Linked DNA regions of Drosophila melanogaster. The protein of the gene in region 1 interacts with the protein of each later gene in a pairwise test. Each region holds a gene or a part of one and is shown in the gene's direction. Other genes may lie near its edges. The genes, in order: CG14658 and CG3819.

What was found.
Region 2: the proteins of CG14658 (region 1) and CG3819 interact in a two-hybrid assay, tested with the Drosophila melanogaster proteins (one large-scale study listed by BioGRID).

Annotation. Positions count from the first base shown.
Region 1 is NT_033777.3:4,826,427-4,835,421, reverse strand, and holds CG14658 (uncharacterized protein), read left to right. Parts: upstream 1-4,908; 5' UTR 4,909-4,956; coding exon 4,957-5,358; 3' UTR 5,359-5,511; downstream 5,512-8,995. Other genes in the region: CG14659 (uncharacterized protein), read left to right, coding at 4,159-4,452.
Region 2 is NT_037436.4:18,916,155-18,926,122, reverse strand, and holds CG3819 (uncharacterized protein), read left to right. Parts: upstream 1-4,014; 5' UTR 4,015-4,030; coding exon 4,031-4,166; intron 4,167-4,423; coding exon 4,424-5,559; 3' UTR 5,560-5,693; downstream 5,694-9,968. Other genes in the region: CG43049 (uncharacterized protein), read right to left, coding at 37-309, 538-687, 736-954; CG32204 (uncharacterized protein), read left to right, coding at 1,348-1,419, 1,731-2,315; CG18223 (uncharacterized protein), read left to right, coding at 5,823-6,115, 6,175-6,451, 6,501-6,899; CG6839 (uncharacterized protein), read right to left, coding at 6,896-8,022, 8,377-8,542.

The DNA of each region.
Region 1 (8,995 bases):
GTGTGGTGAACTGCGACGATGTGTTGATGGTGATGCATTCCAGTTGTCGTCGTTGTTGTTGTTTCATTCGGTTGATAGGTTTTGGTAATTTTAAATCATAGTGGAGCTATTAGAGCACTCATAATGGAATCTTCGATAACTTTCGGTTTACTCCACCAAATATCCATTTCATTGGATCTATACTCGTACTATTCATATTACACTTACAATACTTATATAGTAAAACAGTTTTTACAGGGTATGCGGTCCTATGCGAGAAATTGAATGGATCTTCTTTTTCTACCTGGGTCATTCTGGATTGTGCAACTACGCGGTGCAGAATAAGTAATAGGGGGAGCGGCGCAGAAGTCAATAGAGTGCAAATCCGATTCAAGTTTCGCCCCAAGGCAAATAAAAAAATTTTCTTCGCTGCCATCGTTAAGACTTACACACGAATATTATTGTAAAGTTCGTTTCAACAATCCTATGCCCATACCCCCTGCACCCTGCACACCACCCCATGCCATGAGCCCAAGTTCAACGTAATTGCGTTCAAAAGTGCGTGTACTTGAGAATTTTTTATACTTTTCCTTTATGACGGGAGTGTTACTCTATTGTTGTCGGCTTTTCGCCGTTGCAAATATGTTTTGAAAGCAAAGTCATGCTGGATCACAATCGCCGTGGAACTACATTCATATAGGTACATATATACATCCATATGTGTAGGCCCAGACCTTTCTAATGCTCAAAAATTAGTTTTCTGAAGTGGCTTACTTTGTATGGATAGGCCAAATTGATATGCCTCAGTTGGTAATGAAGTGAGTGGAAAGATATTTTGAAAGAGTTTTGGTTGTGGGGGGCCTAAAATGAAAGAGGGAAGGTGAATGAAATTAAAAGTATTTCAAAATGTTTCCTTATGTGCAAGATGGCCACAGGCCGAGTTGCACTTCAACAAGTACTTTCCACAAAGAAGAAGCGTTGGTCGATTTCCAAATATTAGGGCGATCGTAGAAACTGAGTGTGATCGGTTTTCTGCCCTGACAATAAATTTTATCTGGTCAGGCTTCTCTTGAGTTGAAACCAAATCGATTAATCGAAGGAACCCCCTGCCCTTAATGGCTTAAACTTAGGGGGGCCCTTTATGGCTTATAAAATACTTTGTGGACTGTTATCAAATATCGCCATATCACCAATTCCTTAAAGGTTGATAAAAATAGCCTCAAACTTACTCCAAAATATAGCTTTCAATTTCTCGGTTGCATTACATTGACACTTCATTCCGTAAAACGTTGTAATGCAAGTCGGTCTGCTTATTTGACCCTACGAATAACCCACCTTCGCTCCCCAATTACAAGCAATAATAATTTTAATTAAATGCACCGAGCCCAAGGCAGCTGACCAAAACAAAGGCAAGCAAACAAAGAGACAACCCAGCCATGGAAATGAATCCCGAAATGAGTTGCAAACAAATTACGCCGCAGAAATGGGCTCCAGCGGTGACAAATTACAAGGAAACAACCCGGTGGCGATGAGAAATGACTACAGGCAGGCGGGCGGAGGAGCGCAGTGGTGGATGCCAAACAAGGACGGAGACAGCCGAGCGGCGTGCGAGCGGGAAAGCGACTTACAATCAGTGCTGCCAACTCAGCTCATTTCGTACTGTGAGCAACCGACTTGACTGCCAAACAAAGTAAGTATAGCATTTTCCAAAGGCCATATAGGGGGCTTGTGACTTACATGTATATTTATAATGGATTTCGTTGAATTTTGTCAATAAATAATGCCATCACTTTCCTGTTACCAAAAAAGGAGAGGTGGTGAATTTTAACCACCATTTGGCCCATGGTCATTGTTTTCCCAGCATTATGTTTAGAATACCAGGTTGCATTTAAGTTCGCCACCTTTTATTGCATAATTGCGTATTGTAAATTGTGAATTGTGAATGAAAACCAGCTGTCTTCCGAATTCCGCTAAGGCCTCTGTGCACCTTTTGGCACGCGTAGTTCTGCCCACGTCAGGGCTCCATCAAACTGTTTCACTTCCGGAGCCGCTAAAACTAAAGCGAGCCAATGCAGTTCGTACTTGACCTATTGGTCGCCCCCGCTGACTTGGGCCGCATGCCGCGCTTTTCACATTTCCAGTTTCTCCACTTCGGGTTGCTTGGGTTTTATACACAGATTTCCATCTGTTTGTATTTCCTCCCAATTTGCGACCCTTGTCGATGGGCGGTTTGTTGTCCGTTGTCTGTGCCATTTGTGTTATATGTGTTTTGTCCATTAGCAGCACTTTTGTCGGGTTTTTGTTCAATTAGCAGTTGGCAATTTCATAAATATGTAGTTTTCACATCGTAACGAAGGAATACTCCAATAATCACATGCAACCAAATTATATTACTTCTTAAAAAATCTATAATAAACGACACAATTAGTTATACAGCTGCGTTTAAAATAATAGCACTATTGCAGGTGGAAAGTTCATTTTCAAAAAAAAATTATTAAATGTTTATATTTTTTAAAGTCAGATTGCATGAATAATAAAACAAAAAAAAAAAAAAAATAAAAACAAAACAACCTTAATGCGTGCAGCCCAAGAAAAGTCCCGCTTTTGACTGTTAAGCATGTGGCAAAGCGAATAGAATATGCCAAGATTCCCAAGGACTGGCCTGTGGAGAAGTGGCGCAACATTTTGTGGTCAGATGAGACCAAAATTGTGTTGTTTGTGTTGTCTTGGTCTTATGTTCGGCGTCCTCCACGAACTGAATATAATCCTCGCTTCACCTTTAAGGCGGTAAAGTACGGGGGATCAAACACAATGGTACGGGCGTGCTTTTCGTACTATGGAGTAGGTCCGATCCATTAGATTCAAGGCATCATGGATCAGGACATTTACACAGATATCCTGGAAAATGTGATGCTGTCATATGCCGAGGATGAAATGCCGTTGGTTTGAATATTTCAACAGGATAACGACCCAAAACACACGAGGAAGAACGCTCGAAAGTGGTTAGAGCAGAAATCGATCCGAGGAATGAACTGGCCTGCTCAGTCACCCGACTTGAATCCAATCGAAAACCTTTGGGCGGACGTGAAAAAAAGGTCTCTGAAGCCAAACCCAATAATAACGATGATCTTTGGGGTCTGGTCAAGGATCCATGGAGCAAAACTACTCAATAACGATGCCAGGACTTGGTGGACTCCATGCCAGGACGATGCGCGGCTGTCATTGCCAACAAAGGTCACGCAACCAAATATTAAGATTCTTTAAACATAGTTCTTAAGATATAATTCATTTGTTGAATTATTTTTTTATTTTTTTTTGGTTAGTTTTAGCAAACTACGAGAAACAGTGCTATTTTTGTTACCGCCTAAATTTGAACTTTTTTTTTGTTTTACCAATTATTTTTAAAATATCCATTACATCTGTTATTAATTTTTTTATTTCGATTGAAAATCATTGTAGTATTTAAGTTTAGTGAGTAAAAGTATGAAAAAATGTCAGAAAATAGAGAAACGTTGAGACAAACACGAAATGTGCTTATGGTGCCATTATTGTTACCGCAACTGTATGTACACCAGGGGTACGAAAATTAAGAAAAAAATATATATCTAATTTCATGTTTTTATAATCTTGCAAATACATATATTTAATGAGTATTAATAGATTCTTTGATATAACAATGCCCGTATGTCTGTCCGTTCTATTCTACGCAAACTAGCCTATCAATTTTAAAGCTATCCGCAAAAATATATATTCCATAGTACATATATATATAGTATACCACAAAAAGAGAGAATGCTATAGTCGACTTGCCCGATTATCATATACCCGTTACTCAGCTAGTGAAAATGCGATCGCGAAATTTCATACTTTTTCTAGGATATCAATAGATTTTGGTGAATAAAATGAGAAATAGAATTGTTCAAATTGTTGTATTTGAGGGCGTTAGAGTGGGCTGGCAACAAGTTTTTTCGATAGAATTTTCGATCGATAGAAATTTTCAAAGAAAGATTTCCAAAAGAGTCAAAACGCGCTGAAATTGAGCTTTTTGGTAATGTAAATCATTCCATACTTGATATTTCCTTCACCTTTAATCGGTTTCTTCGAAATCTGATTGATGTTATTATGTAGAAATGCTATATTTTCTAAGCAAGACAGACAGCAACAAAAAAAATCAAGAAAATGTCGGAAAAGAAATATTGGGAGCCGGCAAAGGCTTTCCGCCCAAAAAACGAGAGGGCGAAAGTAAGTATCTGGCACCAGTCATTCACACCGACGTACGAGCAGGAGGAGCCCCAAATGGCACTGCTTCTATCCTGGCACTACGGTCGCCAGTGGATGGAGGAGCGTGATATACACAGGATGGAGACCAAGTTGAAGATAAAGAAGGAGGCCAACTTCATTCCACCCAACTATACCAGTTGGCTTGAGAAGCGGAGGGCCATAAAGACTAAGCAACAGCTGATCAGATCTTGACGTTTTATTTGTGTTCATTAAGTTGTCCAGTTTTTGAATATGAAATTTTGTAAAAATTGTTAATTGTCTTCACGTTCTGGCTTTTTTATAAAATGTGTATCTAAATGAATAAAGATAATACAAAAATAGTATGTAATGTATAGATTTTAAACGTAATAATAATAATAGGTAATCAATTAATTTAATGCTATATCTGCATGGTGCGACATCTGTTGGAGTAAAGCGAAAGCTGCTGATGGGTTTTGTTGTGCTAATGATAAATCTAATCTAAATCGGAAAATTCCATAGAAAGCGGTGAAGTCCTTTAATTACCTTTCATTAAAGTAACTAATTGACTAAGTTAAAATTTGAATGTACAATTGTTTGTACAACCGTATTGGAACATTGGAAAATTTTTCATAATCAAGTAGCTCTTGACCCAGCAGACACAAAGCCTCAGTCCCAGACAGACTCCGTATCAAATCACACAGCACCGACACGACAAGCATATAATTCCACTCAATAATGATTTCAAAGATCAAGATCTGGAGCCGCTCGCCACTGATTCCGGCTAGGGATCACGGTTCAGCGATCCTTCCGCCGGCAGATCGGCCAGATCCCATTCCGGAGCTGTGCGAGGAAAGGCCGGTGATGGGTTGGCTGCTCGGCTGGGAGTACGGGAGGAAGTGGCTGGAGAGGCGTGAGGAGATCCAGAGGCACCGCAACATGGTCAGCAAGTTCGGCAGGATCCCGGCGGACTTCAGCTGGTGGCTCAACCAGCGCAGGCCCCTCTATGTGCGCCAACAGCGATTCCGGAGCAAGGCCGGACCTCGTGCCCGGAAACAGATAACGGCCTTCGAGATGGCCAAGCGGAGGCGTGAGGAGCAGAACCGCAAGCTATTGGAGAGCCAGCCCAAAAACCAGTAAAACACACACTCAAAATGTCCAACATGCCAATCGAAGGGTAAACTCTGTCAAAATTGCTAAGCCAAACAACTGTATATGTACGAGTACAACATTGCAATCGTTGTACAAAGAACTCCCTATGATGATGCGCCAATAAACACGGTTAGAATGCTTAATTCTTTTTGGTTTGATGTGGGGTGATTTGCCATTACCAATATTGCCATTATATGCTGAATAGGTTTTGGTACATCTCAAGTTGATCTGAAAGTACATATGATCAAGTATGGGTAAGGAAATACATTACATCCTTATATACAATATACAATACAAGTTCGTATCGTTCTTCGGTTCAATTACAGGCAAAAAGTGATTTTGACCCCTATAAAAGTACAAAGCTGTTAAAAATAAAAAACAACATTTGATTCCATTGGTGCGCAATCAACTGCGATACCAAACCGCATTCGTTCTTAGAATCGATTTTCGGCTATGTCAGTAGGCCTTTATTGTATAGTGTTTTTTGTTATCCTGTTGTCCTTGCGCTTGCAGGACGAAGTCGCGACGTAGGCTCCGAAAAAACAAAAGCGCAGCATCCCAGAAACCTTCGCCTCAGCCATTTCAGCTTTTGATTGGACTTCCCCCGGGGAAATGTCAGCCCCGTAGAACAATGGATCATACATACTATATGAGAGCCGTCATCATCGTCATTATCGTCATCATCTCCGTCGCTAAAGTTTTCCGTAATCGTCATCAGGGGATGGATAAGTGAACAATTGGCCTTGCCCGACCCAAGGCCCGTGGATATATTTGTGTGCAGTTGTACATACTCTTTATTTGCATTTCCGGCTCATTGCGCCTAATTGCGCGAAAATCTGGCTTTGGAGATCAACCTTATTGTGTGTTCTTGGTCGCTTTTTAGTCAAATCCTTTGTGTTTCCCTTTTGGCGCGAAAAACGCGAAATAATGCGAAAATAAACGAATTTTTAAGGGGTGTTTCCTTTGCCCACAGTGAATTGCGCATTTAAGTTCGCCTTTGTTTAACCTATCGGACTTTTTTTTGCCAAGCTAACTTTTACAGTTTGTAAACTTTGCGATCACCGAAAAGTGTCAGTGTTGATTTTATTTTCGGGACACGCACCTTTTTTCTTACGTCTAAAAAGTCTAGGAAACTGGGACGCCTTTCCTGAGAATCGGAAAAAATTATCGATAGACATTTGCAACCTGACAATAGTTTGATCTCGATCTAAGTATGCCGAGAGTCGATCTAGGCCAGATTTTCATATAGAAAATGCTCAAATCAATATCGTTGAGGACGCGTTATTTATTTATCGGTGCGAAGTTATTGAAGAACGAAATACTGCACTTTTATCAATACACCACTTTCTCTCATGTGCCATTTACCATAGTGTCGGTGAATTTCTCCAGTAACTTTCTACAATAGTAAAATGAATAAAATTTAATTATCCAATTATTCGGTTACTTATGGATCGCTCTCTGTTTAATAACCATATATTTTCTTCGTTGATTATACCCCATTAATTTTGCTCGAGTTTCCTCTTCCTTCCCGCATCGATTCGACATTTGCCTCGTGTGTTTTCAACATTTTTGTTCAATTTCTCTACATTTTCAAGCAGCAAGAACCGAGAAAAATGCTTCATACTGTGCTGCAGTTTTCTGCGCATAAATTAATGGAATAGAATAATGTTCATGATGATGGTTTCATACGGAGTAGAATGAAGCTAGCTGAAAGAAAGGGCTGGGAAATGTATGGTACAACATTAAGTAAGTGGCATGATTTGGAATGGGAAAAATATAATGGAAATCATGTGCAAATGGGCAAGAGCAAAAGTTCGTTGGCTAATCAAGTGAGTTGTGTGTTTTCCACGCCAAAGGCAAGGCAAAACTGAAGGAATTTACGGCTTTTTTTCTAGCTGTTAAAAAATAAATACCTTTTAAAACTTAAGTCTATTAATACTTGTCTACTGGTAAGAAACCGGATGCTGCAAACGAACTGACATCAAATTCACTTCCAGATGATTAGTGTCGTTTTTGTTATGTGACATAGAAACAGAATGTCACATAAAAACGTATTACCAATTTCGATAAGGATGTACTTCAAATTTCATCAAATAGCATTGGAACATATGGAACCCAATAGGATTATAATCGACATGAGCTACATGCATAACTGACTATCATCTCCCGGCTGAGAAATAGAAATGAAATAAAGTTTTACTCTAATTTTGCAGGAAGAACGCAAACGAAATAACAATTGCATTTGCGGTCGAATGGCCAATGGAAAACCGCAAAAACTAATTACAACGTCAAAACAGCCACGGATAAAAACAAAATGGCCGTCGGCTGAAGCGGAAATGAGCTTTGCCCGCGTGTGAGTGTGTGTGTGTGTGTGACCACAGAACAGATGCTGATTATGGAGATAATTAATACGGCTAATTAAACAGGCAAATGCAATTCAGAAATTGCACTGGCAGGGTAAAGGGAGCGGAAAGAGTTGGAAAACAAGCGAAATTTCAACGGCTCCTGCCACATAAAAGCCAATTAATTATTTTTATGGCTACTCCGGGCCGAGAGCCAACTCCACCAACGGAAGCCACCAGCCGACGTCTTGGCCCTCTCGTTTTCCCTGCGCCCGGCATAATAAAAAATTATGGCCTGCGATTTGGCTCACTCGAAACGAAGCAAAAGCAACCGAAAAACCGAATACTCTGTGCGCCACTGACCAGACCAAGAACCCCCCCCCCCCTCCTCATCCCTTTTCGTTTCACCCAGCCCCGCCACACCCCGCATCGCAATGCACAGTAAATCCTCGAAAAAAGGAAGGTCCTGCTCCCTTGCAAGGGCCAAAAAGATGGCGCCGTGCTGCGTACAAAATTGATCAGTGGAGTCCCCGCCGTTTGAACTATGACGCGATATGTCATCATATTTCCTCGTTGCAGTTGAAGGGACGAAAGGGGAGTGGTCGGGCAGGACGCGCAGGGTCCGGAGGGGTGGTGGCAAGCTGGTGCTCCTTGTTTGCCATGCATATTTCTCACTTTGTCAAACCTTTTGTGCACTGCGCAAGGCCGCAATGCAATTGCATTGCAACACTGAGCGAAAAGTGTGTGAAATAAGTTGGGCAACAGAATCCTTTCGATAAAAGATGGTTTTAATTTATTTCGATACCTATACTTGATAGCTCTGCTCTTCAATGTATAAGGCTTGGAAAGAAAACCTACTACAAACCTATTACAAAAAGTGATATTAAAACTAATAAATATCATCTCTCTGTGCACAAACCACTTCCTCGCCTTTCCCATGCCCTCTTCTATTGGCCATCTCGCATTTTGGCATTTATTGCCTGGGCTACCGCAAAATCAATTTCGACCCCAACTTTTTTAGCCTTTGTAGTGGACTTTTCGGAGGCGCCCCAAACCGCGATTGCGACTCGTTCAGGGACAGTCCCACAATCCCACAGCTGTGCCCATTTCTTAGCTCATTTTATTGGCCAAGGCAGGAGCCCAAGTAATGGCCGCCGCCCCTCTGCAGCACCTCCTTGCCCCTCGCATTTCATGCCGTTCTGGCCGGTTTTGTTTTTGGACCAGACTCCCCTTGAAATTTCCGTTTCGGTTCCGTGTTTGTGGACTTGCCAGTGGCTTCCTCA
Region 2 (9,968 bases), on another chromosome or scaffold:
GAATAAATGAAATTCATTTTTAACATATATAATCTTTCAATGGCCTCTTACATATTTGAGCAAAGGATTTATGAATTTCAAGCAGAGCCTTAGGTTTTCTGGAACATCCCTTGCTAAGGCAGTGGTAAATGACCTCATAGCCAGGTAAACTAGACCTATAACCAGCACATATACAATTGCATTTATTGTGGTCCGGGTTCGAAGATCACCCTGGCATCTGAAGTGTCCTTTAATGGTCGCCGCAGTCAACTTGCAAGCAAGTATCCCCAAATGGACGAATAACCAGGGAGCCATGTGATGAGGTGAAACCTAGTGTCAAAAAATTAGAAAACATCTTGAAACTTAAAATTGCATCTATAGAAAGTGAAGAAAACTTCGATCGTAAGAACTTGTGTTTATAGTATACGTTTAGGCATATCTAACAGTTCCAAAGACATTTCTTGTATTGGCGAACTATCTAAGTTTCAGTAGCAAAAAGGTGTGTTAAATGAATATCTAAACTTGGCTGAATCCAAGTTTTGTCACACAACCACTTACCAATAAAGCCGCATACAACAGATGCATCCAGATATTGGCTTGTATAAATGCTCCAGCCATTCTGAGTCTTCTCTTATTTTTTGGATTTTCGAAGCTCCCATCAACCTTATTGGTGAGGATTGACCTCCTAAACTGGGAAAGGCTGTGTATCTAGGGGAAAATCATCTAAAATTAAGTTTCTGAATCTTCGTCACCTACCGCTCCGTATAGACTAAATATGAGGACGAACCAATAATATATAGGATAAGAGGGTATGCCTTCACTCAGGTATTTCGCAAAGCAGCGCCTCACAATCCTGAATTTCCTGGATTCCAATAAACTAAAGAAACCTGATCTATCCCGGCAGGCATCTTCAATCACTTCGTAGGAACTTCCCAGAGAACATAGGCGGTATTTAACTGACATAAGTTTAATCATACTTCAAATTACGCGATCGAAAATCAGTATTCGTAAAAAAGCAATATGTGATCTCACACGAAATTTCGGAAATATTTTGAGCATTGACACGTATTGAAAATTGATACAAAGCAAGGTTTCAGGCTGTACGATGTCTTCCCATTTAGCGTACGCATCAGTCAATAACAATAGGGCCCAATTCCCTTTGCGAACATCCCTCCCATGGCTTAATCGATATGTGTAATAAATAATTTAATTACCAGCTAAGTCCATTAGTCCATTTACGCAGCATAAAAATGTTAGCTCATGTTTTTCTAGGGAAAAAGTGCGAGTGTGTGCGAATGTATCTGCGGAGGGGAATTTTATCTAATGGATATTTATGGTACCCAATTTGTTGCATTCCCTTTTGAACAGGTGCTGGCCATGTGGGGAGTGCTCCGTTTCTACAACTTGGTTCGTTCTGGAATCACATGGCGCGGACCAGAGGTAGGTCATTTAACAAATAAATATGAGTGGACAATATATCAAGTTACAATAATATTTATAATTTAATTACATTTTTTAATGGGTATTTTTATGCAAAGGCATTTAAAATTTATGATTTTTTCCAAGGAGCAATATTTTGCCACTACTTAGTGGAAAATGTTATTAGAATATTATTATGCTATTTAATTTTCCTTTAGTTAATTAAGGTTTTATCGTTCCTAGTAAGGGTATTTATACCAGAAATAAACGAGTCTTAATTCATTAGCGTAATCATTTGATATCCCCTTTCCCTTTAACCATTCTGTCTGCAGGCCAAGACAGCCATCTTTGCGCCGATGTACAAGAGTGTTACTACGAATAAGCCGCACACATACACCTACAGCAAGCGGTCAAGGCGCCGCCATAGCATCGATTCGACTTCCGGCGGATGCTGCGCCATCTTCGACTTTGACTTCGAGTACGACGATGATAACGACGACGACGACGATGAGGCTGCCTATGGCGATGGTCTGGATACGGAGGACGAAGTGGGCTACGACTACGATGATTACTACGATTACTACGACGACGACGAGCTGGCGGAGCAGCAGCACTTGGGGCTGCAACAGGACGATGGTGACTGTAGCATGTTGGGCGCTGGCAGGGCAACCAGATCGCGCTCCAAGCCAAGATCCGCTGTGGTCAAGGTCAAGGGTCAGCGGAGCGGAAGTCGCCGCACCAACAACAACATCCGCAGCGTGCTGATCAACAAGCGGCACAACAAGTACAAAATCGCGCGGCCCCAAACGCAGCTGGAGGTCATCAACGAGTCGGAGAAGAGCGCGGGGAGCGGCAGCGATGAGAATGATTCACTTTTGGTGGCCTATGACAGCAGTTCGTCGCTGGCGTCAGTTTGACATTGGCCGCCATGCAAATCGGGAACCGGAAATGGAAATGCAGCCGTTGGGACAACGGGAAGTGATAGAGCCAGTGGAACAAATAGCGGTGGAAAGTGCCATAACAGCGCCTGCAACTGCAACTGCAATGGCGGCAACAACACCGGAAGCGGAAGTGAAACCGACGACGACGACGGCGATCCTGACGAGAGCCAGCATCTGGAACCTGAGTGGCCGAAGAGCTACCGCCGCGGTGGTCAATGTTGTGGTCAGCGTCAACGCCGACGTCCACTGCGACGCGTCTACTGCGCTGTGAATCTGTCCATCATGGGCCTCCTGGTGGCCGTGGAGATCTACGCCCAGATTGCCATATTCCTGTAGATCAAAACACCTCTCTCTCTCTCTCTCTCTTAATAAAAATGGGTTTTCCCATGGCCAAAATCATATAATATAATTCCAAGCGCCGTTTTTGGTCCACAAGGTACATTACAGTCAACAGAACTTGAAACATACTGTCTCAATGTCAGCAGACACTGCAGCTTTAAATGTAAATAATTTACATACAATATCTTCAAGTAACTAAAACACAGATCTTTTCTCACTCAAGCTACAGCTTTCACAATATTGCGAAAACTCAAATGCTATAATCTATGCCATGGCCATATAAAGTTTTACGTTCTATATAATTTAAAGTAACCAAAAATATAAAGAACAATATCCATAAAAAAAGAACATTTTCTTTTTTTAAGATTTCTGCTAAATCATATTTTAAAAATTTCAAACATTCTAATCAGCTTAAAAACCTTAAGCCTCTTACAAAATGTAACAAATCTAATGTAAATACTTCATAGCAAAATGGTCCGTATTAATAAGAACAATAATAGAAATTAATCTAAATGTGTAAAATTTAAAAGGCGTAGTGCATATCCAGAATTAAATAAATAAACACAATAGCTCTCCAAGAGATACCATTTTTATGTTAATAACCCAGTAATAAGTTAACAGATAAAAGACATTTTATTGCGCAGCCCAAATAAAAGCTTTAAAATAATTAAGCATAATAATAATCGCATGTCTACCCAAAACCAATAAAATAGCCCTAACAAAAGTAACAGAAACAATAAGAGTACATATTAAAGAAAATAAACAATGAAAGATTTAAATGATTGCAAAGTGCTAAGGAAATTACTTTGTAAATACTTCCAGCTATCTCAAGTTGATGTCAGTGACGTACAAAAATTGAAAAAGCAAAATAAACCATATCTATAAATGTTGTATATATAGTAAGTAATCTTAAGTACAGCTGCGCCAAAAAAAAAAGAACACTAGACAGCCAGTTTAAAACTAACCAATAAATGTGAGTTGATGTATACCTTACGATAAAACCATAATAAACCCTTGATATTTGTGAAAAAGTTCAGCGCCTTCATTATTGGGCGATAACCAAACGTGCTGAACACGTGAAAGAGAAAGAAGCTCCACACGGATCGCAGCCATTTAATTTGGCCCACACTCGGGAATACGCCTAATCATGGGGGCCAAAACTAATTAAATGATAATGCCGGCGGTGGGAAGTTAGCAGCCGAATCTGGGGACACGTGAAGCAATCAAAGCATCAGCAAGTGCCGGTATCAACCCGCAAACATGGTCGCAATCAGGGGAATCTAATCAATCATCGGACATCCAGTTGGTTTAAAAGCACCCGGCCTTCCCGAGGTCCAAATCAGTTGCGAAACATGAAGTGCCTAGTGTTGATTGCCTTCAGTGGCCTCTTCTTGGCCAGTGCCCAGGCCCGAATCCTTCCCGCGGAGGATCTCCCCTGGGAGTTGCCAGAAGTTCCGGTAGCGGTCAACGAGATTGAACCCAGAGCAGGTGACTACTAAAACGTAATTAAACTCATTCTTTCATTTTTGGACATTTAAAAAATTTAAAAAAATCTTTAAAAATTTAAAGACCGATAAACTTGTTTAATCAAAACTACTTACAATGGCATAAATTCTATTTTACCAATAACAGATATTCAATGGGAATGGGAAATATTCTCTTAATTAAAATACTGATTTAATTACAATATAATTTACAATACCTTCTACATTTATAAATATAATTGAAAATATTCTTTATCGTAGCTGGTTGTTCAATTAAGATCCGCAGCTCTGAGCTGAAGGATCCCCAGCCTCTGCTGATTAAATCGGACACCTCTGAAATCGTTGGATTCTCGGACACCGGCTATGTGGACGTGGACAAGGACAAGACCATCGAATTCCACTGCACCAGCAGCCTGGCTTCCCCTCTGTCTGGAAAATCCGTGACCGCCAAGTGCGTGGGTGGCACCACCTTCAAGATTGACGATAAGGAGCACGATCTGTCCGCCATCAAGTGCACATCGTGGCCAGTTTTTGTGGGCAAGAAGTCCGGATCCAGCTGCAATGGTGGCACCACGCTGATCAAGGTGGGCTTTGAGCTCTCCGGCTCACGATTCGCAACGCAGTACGAGGTATGCTTCAACGAGGACGAGGAGGTGACCAGGTACGTCTATCATCGCCTGGAACCGGGAAACAACTACTATGCCACCGGAGTGGATCGCATTACATTTGGAGCCGGCGGCTATTTCGCGGGTAAGAATGTGGACAAGCTATACACGCAGGCTGTTCAGAAGGAGACCATCGACAAGGAGCTGGACATGGATTCATCCCGTTTCTTTGACTCGGCCAAGAACATCTTCCTGGCCCGTGGTCACATGGGTGCCAAGGCTGACTTCGTATTTGCCCCGGAGCAGAGGGCCACCTTCCTGTTCATCAACGCTGCTCCTCAGTGGCAGACCTTCAATGCTGGTAACTGGGCTCGCGTGGAGGACGGAGTTCGTGCCTGGGTGGCCAAGGAGAACAAGCACGTGGAGTGCTGGACGGGAGTCTGGGGTGTTACCACGCTGCCCAACAAGAATGGGGAACAGAGGCAACTCTATTTGTCCCACGATAACAACGGCAACGGTCTGATTCCAGTTCCCAAGCTATACTTCCGAGTGGTAATCGAACCATCCACCAAGAAGGGCATCGTTCTGATCGGCGTCAACAATCCCCATTTGAGTTTGGAGGAGATCAAGCGGGACTACATCCTGTGCACGGACGTCAGCGACAGGATCAACTGGATCAGCTGGAAGAAGACGGACATCACCGCCGGTTACTCCTACGCCTGCGAGGTTCCGGAGTTCCGCAAGAAGGTGACGCATCTGCCCGAGTTCTCCGTCAGCGGACTGTTGGTCTAAACTGGTTATGTTTGAAATAATAAATAATACCTTTACATCGAAACACTTTGATTTGTTTTTAAAACATCTGCAACAAGGAAACTTTTGAGAAAATACTGGAGAAATAAATAATTTGAGAAAAAAATGGAAAAAATATGAATGAATTCGTTTATATTTTTAAGATTGCATACGATAAATCCATTACAACCATTTTCCATTTTGAGTAGATTGGCGAAATCAAATAATGCATTTGTTACCTGTCAAAAAATATTTAAAATTCTCCAATGTTGCTACTGAAATATGGAGTATCTAGGAAAATCTTCAGTTTCCTACTGTTCCTCTTGTTGCTTCTGCCGATCCTTGACGCCGGTGATCCGATTGGCAGCCACTTCGTCCGCCGGCGGGCTAAACGCCTTTCCAGTCCCTATTTCGACAAGGAAAAAACGTTGGTTCTGGCCAAATATGTAGTCTCGATTCGATCCCGAAGACCCCACAAGTTATTTGGCGACAATCACTTCTGCGGTGGCGTGATCATATCGAGAACCTACATCCTCACCTCCGCCCACTGCGCCATGGAGTAGGTATAGAAAAGATCAATATATAATTGACTGTTATGTCCTTTAATCAATGCAAAAGTAAGCGCAAGATCGTACATCGCAGTCGGGTGTTGGTGGTTGTGGCTGGAACCACAAATCGTCTGAAATCCCGCAAAGGACTCTCTTTAAACATGGAGGTGAAGAAGATCTTTGTCCCAGACAAGTTCACAGTATTCAATACGAACAACATTGCGCTGATGATGCTGGCCAAAAAACTACCCTTGGACAATCCGCTTGTGGGTGTGATCAATCTGCCTACGGCTGACCCAGAACCGGGTTTGAACTACACGGTGCTGGGCTGGGGAAGGATCTTCAAGGTAAGTTGTGGTAGTTACGAACTATAAGTAGGTTTATTATTAACTATAGGGCGGTCCCCTGGCCTCGGACATCCTGCACATTGACGTGGAGCTATTGCCCCGGGATATCTGTGAGAAGAAAGTCCACATCTTCAAGGAGGAGATGATGTGCGCCGGAAATCTGAACAACACCATGGACGAGAATCCCTGTGCCGGTGACACCGGAAGCCCACTGATTTTCAACGAAACAGTCTTTGGTGTGGTTAGCTACCGAGTAGGCTGTGGATCTAAAACTTTGCCCTCCATTTATACCAACGTCTACATGCATATGGACTGGATTAATGGCATTATGAACAATAATGAAGCGAACCGATTGTGTTACTCTCCCAACTATCTATTCACCACCATTGGTATAATCATTGGAAATAAAATTCTGAAAAGTTGGGGATTTTATTTGATCACCATTTAAACGAGGAGACCTCCCTTGGCGGTCAAAGCGGGCAGGTGCTTCACGGTCTTCAGGAAATCGGCCACCTCGCAAGCATAGGACCAACCGGCCTTGATGTCTGTAGTCTTCCAGTTGATGTAGGTCACCTGATCGCTGACATCGTCACAGATGACATAGTCGCGCTTGATCTGCTCCTCGGTGAGATGGGGATTGTTGACGCCCACAAAGACAATGCCCCTGTGGGAGGAGGGATCGATGACAACGCGGAAGTAGAGCTTCGGCACGGGGATCAGGCCATTGTTGTTGTCATCCTTGGCCAGATAAAGCGGCGTCTCCACACCGTCCTTGTTGGGCAGAGTGGTCACGCCGTAGACACCGGTATAGCAGTTCACGTTCAGCTTGTTCTTGGAGACCCAGGCCCTCAGACCATCCTCCACACGAGCCCAGTTTCCGGCATTGAAGGTCTGCCACTGAGGAGCGGCGTTAATAAACAGGAAGGTTGCCCTCTGCTCGGGAGCGTAGTCGAAATCAGCCTTGGCACCCAGGTGACCACGTGCCAGGTAGACATTGCTGCTACTATCGAAGTACTTTTCCGCATCTCCGCCCAGTTCATTGTTGATGGTCTCCAGCTGGGTGGCTTGGGTGTACAGTTTGTCCACGTTCTTTCCATCAAAGAAGCCAGCCGTTTGGAAGGTAATTCTAGCCACTCCGGTCTCGTAGTAGTTGCTTCCGGGCTCCAACTTGTGGCGAGTGTATCGGGTCACTTCCTCCTCTTCGTTGAAGCAAATCTGCATCTGCTCGGCAAACCTCGATGAGGTGATCTCGAAACCTACGCGGATCACAATGCCACCGTTGCAGGTGGCTCCGGACTTAACAGCCTTGAATCCCGGCCAGGATTTACAGTACAGGTCCTTGAACTCGAAGTTAGATCCGCCCACGCTGAAGGTGGTTCCACTCACACAACTGGCGGTAAGCAGATTCTCCGAATGAGTGTTGAATCCTGAGGGACACCACAGCTGCAATGAGCCGCCCGACTCGAATTCCATGACACCGACGTCGGAAAAGGGATAAAAGTCCTCGGAATCGGTTTTCAGGTACACTGGCTCGGGACTGGGCAATCCTCCGCGAATAGTAACACTGCAGGCTGAAAAAACATATTAGTTGCCAAATTTATTTAAATTTTACAACTGAAATAATTTACTTGGTTGGAAGAAAGGACTCGCAGTCAATAGAAATTATTTATCTATCTATTTTGGGCTCTTTAAATTAATCTTTAGAATCCTAATATTTATATTTTCTATCTTTTATAGTTCCCGAGATCTCTAAGTTAATAAAGTAAGTACACGTAACTATCTATCCTGATCAAGACTATATATATATAAAATCATTTTAACTAGGGGTTAAATATACATATATACACAAATTCAAAAATTGTACGAACTTGAAAATAATGCATTTCAGTAGTATTATATGATGCAATTAAATTAAATCGACCTACCTCCTGCACGACCCACGGGCTGAGGTGGCGCCACAGCAATCCGTTCGAAGATCCCGTCATCCTCGACCACTGGAGGAAGCTCCACCTCCGGACAGGGAACTCGAGCCCAGGCAGCCGGAGCCGCCAGCAGGCCAACTACCAGCAATGAGAATCGGATGCACTTCATTTTAGATTTAACAAACAAACGGCCTTTGAGGCATCTTTAAATAGCCCACGACCATATCGCGCAAATTAATGAAAAATAGTTAATGAAACGAATCTCGCCATTCTGACCATTATCTCTGCAAAACAATGAAATATTGGTCTTATCTATTCACGTGAAGTGTCGAAGTGTGCGGATTTTTACGGTCCTACGTAGACCCATTCATTCGAGCTTAATTGGTTTGAGACACTTAGTGCTTTTTTGGACAAGTGGGAAAGTTATGGGAATTACCCAAACAATGCAGATAATTTGTAGCTACAAAAATAGAACGTGTTTTTTAGGCGTTTAGAACTTAAAGTATATCTTTGGCGTACTTCTGGTATTACATTTCATATCTTATCCAAAGATTTGTAGTGCGTATTTTTATGACTTACACAAGGTACAATCGCTTAATTACTTCTGAAACATATTTGCTTTCAAGAATGTGTAGGTATTAAGATTTCCGATACATATTTTTTTATTTTACCATGTATTTTTATTCAAATATGATACACATTATATGTAATACAGTTCATTTCCAATCTAGTTATTACATTTCCACAAATCAACAGTCATTTATGATTGGCCATCTAAACTAGCAGTTGATGAGCTACGCAGACCTTCGGACGCCTAATTAAGTTATTTAATCAGCAGTCAAGGCGAGTGCTTTCCCTCAGGTTCTCGTTTCACTTAGCAATAATTTATAATCAACAAGTAATTAATGCTTATGGCCGCAGCAGGATTCGAATTGCTGGTAGCGGTTGGAATTTCCTAGGCCTTTCAAGGATATCGAGAAATTTGAACGTATGAATAGCTGGGCTGGTGGCTGGTAGACTGGGCAAAAAGCCTCAAAAGAGCCAAGGAATGTGCTCGTTAATCATTATCTGGCGCCATCTAGCGGCTGCTTCCCGCCCTCTGAGGTCATTTATCTATATCGAATCAATTAGCGAACACCTTGAAGCCTTCGTTGCTGAATATGGTGAAAAGGCATGGCAACCACGTTGCTCCCTTTGTTAGGATTTCCTTTCGTCCTTGCTACGTGCCAATTTGGCTCGTTTTGTTCGCTCATTCGTAAATCTAAACAAATCATCAATTTTCACAAATTATACGCGATACCCATCTGCGCCGTCCGGGTTTTCTGGCTGTTTCTCCGTATCCGTCCAAGTTACCGTTTCCGGCTGAAGGTCCTTTCTCCTTGGGATTGGGGCCTAATTGCCCGACTATCTGCTTTCGCTGCTTTTCGTGCCGTGCGACGCTGTTCATTTTACATTCCATTAATTAATGTCAATGGCCGACGAACTTTGACATATTGAGCTTTATTTTATATCCCTCTTGATGTCCCCGATGGGGATTTTGGGGGGTTTGGCTAATGGAGCGTTTACTGTTGGATAAGTGTTTGCTTGATTGAGTT